Linked DNA regions of Arabidopsis thaliana. The protein of the gene in region 2 interacts with the protein of the main gene of each other region in a pairwise test. Each region holds a gene or a part of one and is shown on either strand. Other genes may lie near its edges. The genes, in order: AT1G65150 and XCP2.

Evidence for each region.
Region 1: the proteins of XCP2 (region 2) and AT1G65150 interact in a two-hybrid assay, tested with the Arabidopsis thaliana proteins (one large-scale study listed by BioGRID).

What each region holds. Positions count from the first base shown.
Region 1 is NC_003070.9:24,203,048-24,207,812, forward strand, and holds AT1G65150 (TRAF-like family protein), read right to left. Parts: upstream 2,784-4,765; 5' UTR 2,647-2,783; intron 2,525-2,646; exon of another isoform or gene 2,517-2,524; 5' UTR 2,512-2,516; coding exon 2,375-2,511; intron 2,194-2,374; coding exon 2,030-2,193; intron 1,955-2,029; coding exon 1,687-1,954; intron 1,604-1,686; coding exon 1,440-1,603; intron 1,278-1,439; coding exon 1,120-1,277; 3' UTR 794-1,119; downstream 1-793. Other genes in the region: AT1G65140 (Ubiquitin carboxyl-terminal hydrolase family protein), read left to right, coding at 1-53, 132-179; AT1G65160 (ubiquitin carboxyl-terminal hydrolase family protein), read left to right, coding at 3,177-3,226, 3,310-3,397, 3,480-3,575, 3,660-3,846, 3,915-3,940; AT1G65165 (inactive ubiquitin carboxyl-terminal hydrolase-like protein), read left to right, coding at 3,963-4,056, 4,155-4,291, 4,375-4,455, 4,539-4,613, 4,699-4,719.
Region 2 is NC_003070.9:7,250,474-7,254,565, reverse strand, and holds XCP2 (xylem cysteine peptidase 2), read right to left. Parts: upstream 2,456-4,092; 5' UTR 2,359-2,455; coding exon 1,881-2,358; intron 1,795-1,880; coding exon 1,559-1,794; intron 1,477-1,558; coding exon 1,336-1,476; intron 1,245-1,335; coding exon 1,029-1,244; 3' UTR 819-1,028; downstream 1-818. Other genes in the region: PHT1;8 (phosphate transporter 1;8), read left to right, coding at 1-559. UniProt on the Arabidopsis thaliana protein: Cysteine protease involved in xylem tracheary element (TE) autolysis during xylogenesis in roots. Participates in micro autolysis within the intact central vacuole before mega autolysis is initiated by tonoplast implosion.

The DNA.
Region 1 (4,765 bases), about 17 Mb from region 2:
TCCGCATTTTTCGAGAACTGCATATTCGACCTGAGATTCTATTCTTTGAAAACGTAAGCTCCTTTGACTGAGTATGCATGTTTATTTTGCTTATGTGTGTGTGTTCTCAATTCCACCTACTTGAATTGCAGGCTATTCTAAAGGACCAGATGTTTTCCGAGCAGGGATCTGAAGACTGAATAGAAGAAGCTTTTCAAATGGTGCAGGAAAGGAATTTGATGTAGAAGTCAAAAACTTTATAGGAGTAAGTATAGAACAATGCTTTTGATTGTTATGATCATTGAATAGTAGATACTTGGATACCATTTTATCAAGTTCAACACTTGTATAAAGATACTATCCTTTTAACGTTGGAAGAACATGAGAGAAGCAGAAGGGAGCCCTATAAACCAAAGCAAAGTTCTTAAACATGAAGCTTTAGTAGAAGATGTACACAACCTAAAATTTAATAACTTAAAAGATCATTAACAAACGCATAAAACTCAAAATTGCCATCATTGGGCTGCATGCTTTGACGAGGACGAGAGGCATTATAGTTGGGGGGGTTTCAACAATGATATGGCATTCTTGTTTAGTACAGGACTAGTGTAACTAGCTGAGACATTCTGGATTGATCTAGGATCTTTGCTTCTTTGCTTAGGTAGGTTTGATCCAAAAAGTGAATAAAGAGAGAAAGATGTTGATTTTTGACTGGAGAGCAATAAATGTATTCAAAATGGTTTTTGATTTCTGAGTGACATCTCTAAAAACTTTGATGTTACCTTAACAGAAGAAAAGAATGCAAATGTTGAATCATAAAAATATTTCAAGAACTTTAATAAACTACGATCATTCACAACCGCATCAAAAGTCATACAAACATACAATAGTCAAGACATGCATGGTAGATATTTAGATATCCTAAAAACAGAGTAGGTAAGTCATAGAGTAGTAGACATGGCATGGTAGATATTTAGATATCCTAAAAACAGAGTAGGTAAGTCATAGAGTAGTAGACATGGCATGGTAGATACATAGATATCCTAAACATAGATAGAGCGTTAACTTCACATTCAGTTTTTACGCTTAAAACAGAGTAGTCCCAGACTCTAGAGTAGTAGACCTGACATGGTTGATATCCTAAAAGAAGGGATGGTTTTTATGGGAGTTTTTAATTTCACATTCAATCTCTACCTCCAAAGTCCCTTCACGATCCAAGTAAGCCCCCTCATTTTTATCGAAAGACATGGATTGAGGAAGACCCCACGCTTTGTTCGAGTTCATGAGCCAACAGTTAACTACAGAAACAAGCAATACATTAGTTATAAACTTAATACCACTAGTTTATAGTCAAAGGAGTAGGACATTTGACATTTTAAATTAAGAACGCCTATTGAAAATGTCATCAGCTTTGACAATAACCATTGACAAATAGTAACATCAAATAGTTTTTGACTTACGGCTTCCTGTTAGGTGATTGGATCCACGCGGGTCTAGAACCTTCAGGTTTACTCGCACGAAAATCAGCTCACCCTTGGCTAAAGTTTCACCGTCAGCTAAATGCAAATGCTGAATTAACTTGTCATCTGCCTCAGAGTCCCCCTTTGGATACAACTTTAGAGTCCTTTGAAACATAACCATCCACTTGTTAGCAAGTTACCACTAATGCACACATACAACAATATCTATCAGAAAGAAAAAACTCACCAATCCTTTTCTCCCATGTGAAAGGTTTTGGATACGTAATCATTCTGTTCCAGAAGAGCGAAATCACGAATAGTCCAAGAGAATTTGTGAAAAGGGAGATCTTCACCAAAAGAGGCGGGTCGTGAAACAATCTTCACATGAGCACCGAACTCATGTTCTTCACCGTACAAGATAAATCCCTTTGCACGGTCTTTGAGTGTTTCAACCGGAAGAGCTTTTGACAATCCCCAAACCGTTTTTGAAGAATTGAAACGCTTCACTTCAACATCTACATGTATAAACACATATTAGAGCTTCATTCTTATATATACACAGAGAAAGAGAGAGATAAGAGCATACGAACCTTGAAAAGAGAGGTACTTCTTCTCTTCCTCGCTGAAGACAAAGAAAGTGAGATAGGCAAACACATCAATGGGTGGTGTTGTCGATGAGAGGCATTCCACATACATAGACACAAACCCACTTCCATTGTCCGCTTCGTTTCCTTTTGGGTGAACAACCAATCTCCTGATTTTTACAAAAAGGACAACATTTCTTACTTATATATGTATACAGTGAAGAAAGATGGGAACTTTAGTGAAGAAAAATGTGAACTTTAGCAAAGAAAGATGAGAACTTTAGTGAAGAAAAATGTGAACTTTTTAGCGAAGAAAGATGAGAACTTGAAGTATAGAACAAGATCACATACCAGTTGTGTGCACCAGAAGAGAAAGGAGGGGACTCGTATTTCTCGTTAGCAAGCTGAGAAAGTCTGACAAGAGTAGAGGAAGGAGGATTCCTTCTCCAAGTCTTCAACACTGCAGGATCTGACGCATTTGAACCCATTTTCTCTACACAACTTACACAAGAGAAGATTTTTTTAGAATTCCCCAAACAACAGAGAGATCTATAGAAATTTGTGTGCTTTATTCTCTTAAGAGACTAAAGAAGTTGAAAGCTTAAAGAAAGAAATCGACGAACCTTGACGGAGATGGAAAGAGCCTTGACGGAATTCTGCGTCACCTTGAAGCAAAGAGAGAGATTGAAAAAGGAGAGAGCTTTTAAGGGATTCTTCGTCACTAACAAGTAAGAAGAGATTTTCTAGGGTTTAGATATTATTTTCATATAACGGGCCTAAAGCTACAAGACTGGCCCGGCTCGTTTTTTATTTTAGCTTCTTCTGCTTCAAAACGTTGACGTTTCAATCTCCAAAAAAGTGTTTTAAGATTTTGATAATATGTACTCGAAGAGCTATGTAATGTTGATTAAAGCTTCATAACAATTTTTGGCGCACAATTCTTAATATATATCACGTGAGGATCACGTAAACAAACTAACAGACTCTAACCCTATTAAGTCCTCGCCTAATCGCCTTTGGTCTTCTCTTCAACTTTTCCCATTTTCTTTCTCTGCCGTTTATTTTCTCGAGAAAACTCAGAAAGAAAATCTCCATTGTTGTTTTTCTTGGGAAAATCTGCCAAAGAAAGAAGGTTTTGCCTTCGATCATTGAGATGGATCCATCAAACGTTCAAGAAGTGGAGAAGCTCGAAGAAATAGATCCGTAAGTAGTTTAAATCTCATCCTCCGAGTATATATTTATGCTTTTCTCATACATTTTCGACTTGGTGCTTATCTTTTGTTTAGAGATCTCTCACTAACGCAAGACGATGCAGAGGAACCTATAGGGAAGCTAAACGCCACCTGTGTTTCAGCTCTTGCTATGATACTCAAGGTTTCGCAAACTTCACAAACCTAAAGAATTTGTTTTTCTCGATTTTGTTTATTTAAGTTTTCAAGAATGTGGATTTGTGCAGTCTATATGGAACATTAACGTTTTCGCAAGCTCCAGAGAAGATGAATCTGTTTTTCATGAGTTCCTTCTCAACGATCTAAGTCTCAAGCATCCTCTGGTCTAACCTCTGATCTTTAAAAAATCTATGTTACCAATTACTTCTTTCTCAAGACTTGATGTTTTCTTGTTCTCTACGCTTTAGGAAGCAAATGGTGTTTTTGACCTGTTTCTAAACATCTTGGAGGCTCTGCCTAACTGGGGTTTGTACTTTGAAGTATACGAAGTGGCTAAAAAGATTTGCAATAGATGCAAACTGGATTTGGAATATCCTGCTGAACGTTCTTTTCGTCTTATCATCAGTGCTAGTTCACTTAGAGAAGTCAAGGCAAGTCTCTTTTTTTCCCTTATACATTGAAAGTAGAATTCAGTCTCGTGAAAGTGTTTTGGTTATTTGCAGTCTGCATTCAAGGATTTTACATTTGAGAATATCATTAAGGTCATCAAGATGAACTTAAAGATGCCTTGTGATAAGGAAGGATGTGGGAAACAAAGCTATGTTCACCGTATGATAACCAAACTTCCATCTGTTTTCACAATTGGTAAGCCTATGGTATAAGCTATTAAGTTAATTTGTTAGTAGAGATCACAACAAAATGCAGTAGTTTTGAGCATATTTTTTTTCTCTCGTATTGTTTAGCACTTGAGTGGACAAAGAATGAGACTGCAGGAGAAATATTCGATACAGTTTCTGTTCTGGCGACTGAGATTGATGTTAATGTGATATACCAATGCGAAGGTGACATTCGATATACCAAGTACCGTCTTGTCTCAATGGTAAGGGCCAAGTACCTACAATTTGTTTCAGTTCCATTTAACTTTACTATGTTACCAGAAACAACTCCAATGTTAACATTCAGGTTTGCTTGCATGGAAATCGATACAACTGTGTAGCTTATGAAAACAATAGATGGGTCAGATATCTTCGTTCTGAGATAGAGGTATAAAGCTTTTAGTCTTTTAGACATTTTTGTATGTGGAATTGTGACTTCTTTACCTGAGTGAGGCTATGTCGCTTCTCCAGGTTATTGGAGACTGGGAGAATGTTGTCAGCATTTGTTTAAAGAATATCCGTCCACAGATTCTGTTTTTCGAAAACGTAAGGCCCTTTCGACTGCGTACTTGCTCATGTTTTGCTTTTATTATGTGTGTTTTCTCTCAATTCCACCTACTTTGAATTGCAGGTTATGCAAAGGGAGCAATAAATAGAAAAGCTTTTTCAATGGCATAGGAATCAGATTGATGTATAGA
Region 2 (4,092 bases):
CACAGTTTACTTCATCGACAAGATAGGTCGTGTCAAAATCCAGATTATGGGGTTTTTCTTCATGGCCGTTATTTATTTAGTCGCTGGTATTCCGTACAGTTGGTATTGGTCAAAGCACGAGCATAATAATAAAGGCTTCATGGTTCTCTACGGTTTGGTTTTCTTCTTTTGCAATTTTGGTCCCAACACTACAACTTTTATTATTCCCGCAGAGCATTTCCCGGCTAGGTTTAGGTCTACTTGTCACGGGATCTCTGGTGCCGCGGGTAAGCTTGGGGCTATTGTGGGCACTGTTGGGTTCTTGTGGGCTACCAAGAAGATGGAAAGCGATGATAAAAACCAGATTTATCCCGAAGTAAACCGTATGAGAATTGCTTTCTTGATTCTTGGTGGCGTTTGCATTGCTGGAATCTTGGTGACGTATTTCTTCACCAAGGAAACTATGGGAAGATCGTTAGAGGAGAACGAGCATGACCAAGATAACAATGCTGAGTCTGAAGATGAGCCACAGATTGTTGACGGGCAATCCTCCGTGAGCACTTTGCTTCAGACACGATGATGATCTCGACATATTGAACACATGATCAGTTCAAGTTCATACAATTGTATATTTCTGCTAATCTTTTCTAGATTTTGTTTACATTTTGCTTTGAGGTATTTTTTTCCAATTGCTTCTTACCCAAGAAGCTGTTTAATCTACATTTCCTCTGTTTTTTTCAGTTGCTTATTAACCTGTAAACTGTTCAATCTAAAGATTGCTCTGTTTTTTTCAATTATTTCTTCCCCAAGAAACTTTTTGTTTTTCTTCAATTAATACTCTGTTCTTTTCTTCAATAATCATTATTTTTAATATTCTCTGCTTTAATTTCTTCATGGTTGGTACTAGAAATTTGTCAATTCTCTGCTTCTTATATATAGGTATTATTGCACATAGTTGTTACAAGACTTCCGTTGATAAATCAAAAGAGAAAAAACGAAGACACTGTAAGATGCTGATCAAATGCAGATAAGAGAGAATGATCTGATGATCACTTAGTTTTGGTGGGGAAAGAAGCCATCTTGTTGATTCCACAGAGACCCTCTGGTTTCCCAGTGTTCCTCTTCAGCCTGATGTAACCTTTTTCTCCCCATTTTGGTCCCCAAGAATTCTTCACAATGATGTAATCTGAACCCTTGCTTGATCCATACCCAACCGCAGCCACACCGTGGTCAAGATCAACCCCGCACCGCCCATCAAACACGCCCTTCATATACCAAATACAAAATGATTCAACATCAACAAGAGCAATTAACTAACAACCATTTTCTTTATTTATAGGTTTATAATGTACTTACGCCGCTATAGAACTGGAACTCTCTACCAGATGCATCAATGGCGACACTGAGAGGCTGATGAGCCAATGCCTTCAAGAGACTCTTCTCATCATTAGTAGGTACGTCTTGGTGTCCATTAATGGTTACTGTTTCAGATTCATCCTGTTTTCAAAACAGAGATAATTAGAATGGGACCACCTTTCATTAACACATCAGAGACCAAGAGTTGATATTAGAATGGGACCTTTTGCATCTCGCAAGTTCCTTCTTCCATAGAGTAAGGATAATCTTCTTCCTTGCGTAGACCTCCGTTCTTAACAATGTACTCAAAGGCATAGTCCATGAGACCACCGTTGCAGCCATTGTTGTAGGTCGTGTCACAGTCTATGAGTTCTTGTTCTGACAATGTTGTCAAGTTTCCTGTCACAATCTTGTTTATACCTTCGACAGCTGCTACTGTCGAAAACGCCCAACAACTTCCTGCGAAACAAGTTTTTTAAAGTTAAATGGTTTAGTTAAGAGTCAAAACTTCCATTAACAGATCAGAGACCAAGATTTGATATTACCACAAGAGCCCTGGTTCTTAACTTCCGCCACAGCTCCTTTCTTTCTCCAGTCAACAGACTTAGGAACAGCTTCGACGTCCCTGTAAGCGAACTCTGCGTAAGATCTTTCTTCATCGCGTCTCACTATATCAGTCTTGAGCCCTAAATACATTTTCTTGAACTCCTCATGGCTCAAATCCGCAAACTCGTTGAGCCCGAGCCAGTAGCTTTTCCCTTTCTTGTTAGTCTCATCGATGTGCTTTAGATTATCCTTGAAAACTTCGAACCTAAGAAACTTCTCTTCAACGGTTTCATAAGCTTTCTCAAAATTTGAGATCCAGTTTTCGAAGAGTTCTATGAGTTTGTCATGAGATTCCAAATCCTCGGGGGAGTATCCAACGATGGAGTAATCGTGGGAAGAAGCGAAAGAGAGGGAGAGAGAAGCAGCGGATAAGGCAAGAGCAAAACAGAGGATTCTTGAAGGTGAAGAAAGAGCCATTTGAGTACGTTTGTTTTTCTTTTGTCACTTGATAAGAGGAAATGGAAGAGAAGAGCCTGTTTATATAGGCTGGAGACTCGATAGAGGTCGCTCTTTTTGCTTTAGAGTAAAGTAGTCTGAATCTGTAACTTGTGTAAAGTCTGTGTCTTTAAGCTTAGTTTTGTCTTTCCATGAGGTTACTTTGACTCCAAGTACTAATCGTATATGCAGGCCGGCTTTACACATGTGCTGGAGGAGCTGAGGCACAGGGTCTACCCAAAATTTCTTTTTTTTTAAAAGTAAATCTATTATAGTTAGGGTCCAAAAATTTTGATATATAACAAAACACAAAAATGAGAACTAATTTTTTTTTCCAGCTCTAGGTCCTTTATTATTCTGAGCCGGCCCTGCGGTATATGGTTTGTTTAATTATGTGCAGAACTAGAAACCTCTGTCTCGGTCAGAGGTAATCATTTAAGGAAGGCCTCAATGATAAAATGCCAACCTCAACAATAAGAAAGCCCAAAAGTGGGCCAACTATGTAATTAACTGATGAAAAATGTTTTGATCACCAATCTTAATTGAACAATATACAAATCATGGATTTGCGGCCCATAATCACTAACCTTTTATGGTATGAATGAATGTTGAAGTTTAGTTGATTATAATTAGCTCTTCTTTTGTTCACTGTTCTAAATTGTTTAAACATAATTCTTAATGAGACAATATAAAATTCACAAAACATGAGATTACGGTGAAGTATATTTCTGTTTTTTTTTATAAGATATTTATTCTGTAAAGAACAAAGTTTGACCTGTCAATCCACCAAGATTTCTGATAACAATGTCAGGAGGATAAGGATCTTCGTTTTACTTAGTTTTTAATCAGCTAATTGTTGAATAAGATATATAAAATTTAAGAACCTAATACGTAAAAACTTGATTTTTATAATGATGACCCACCAACCACTACGAAGTATGATCTAAATTAACACCATATTTTTCATAAAGTGGATTCATTTAAAACATGAATCATGTTAAAGTTACAGTTGAAAACTCACTGGTTCTAACTTTACAGGACATCTACTTGACTGCTTGTACAAAAAGAAATAAATGATTGTTATTTCTTATGCAGGGAAAAAATCAACAAAATATATAAGAATGAAAATAAAATGATAATAAAACATATCATAAGATCCGTTTGAGGTGGAGCCACGTGGTCGGAAATGCTCAAATGATTTGGGAGCACGAACTCTATCAAGAAAAAGACCATTGTCATATTTTTCTAGGTCGTACTCGTACATATGTAATATCTATCCAAAGTTTTCTTTTTTCACATAAAATCTCATTCCAGCGTTAATAAATATGAAGAGGACGTTAGATATTTTTATATATTCTCAAATAGCCTTGTGCTGAGAAAAGAAAATCATCAACTTGTCACAGAATTAGAAAACTATACGTATATGCTATCAATGTTGCATTTTTCTAAAATTGATTGTGTTGTAATTAATATAAAAAATACTAGTAGAGGAGAAGTAATTGGTAGGGCATAAAAAGGTACGTGAGAAAGTGACAAAGCACTAATATTATAAATCACATGCCCTCTCATTGACGCCATGTTCGTCTCCTATTGCATCAAACCCCATCTGTCTCTTAATTTTTAATTTTTGTTTTAAATAGTAGTTTTATTGTTATTATTGTATAGTAATCTTTGTAATTTCCTTCCAAAATCTATAATATTTTTTAGCCGCAAATT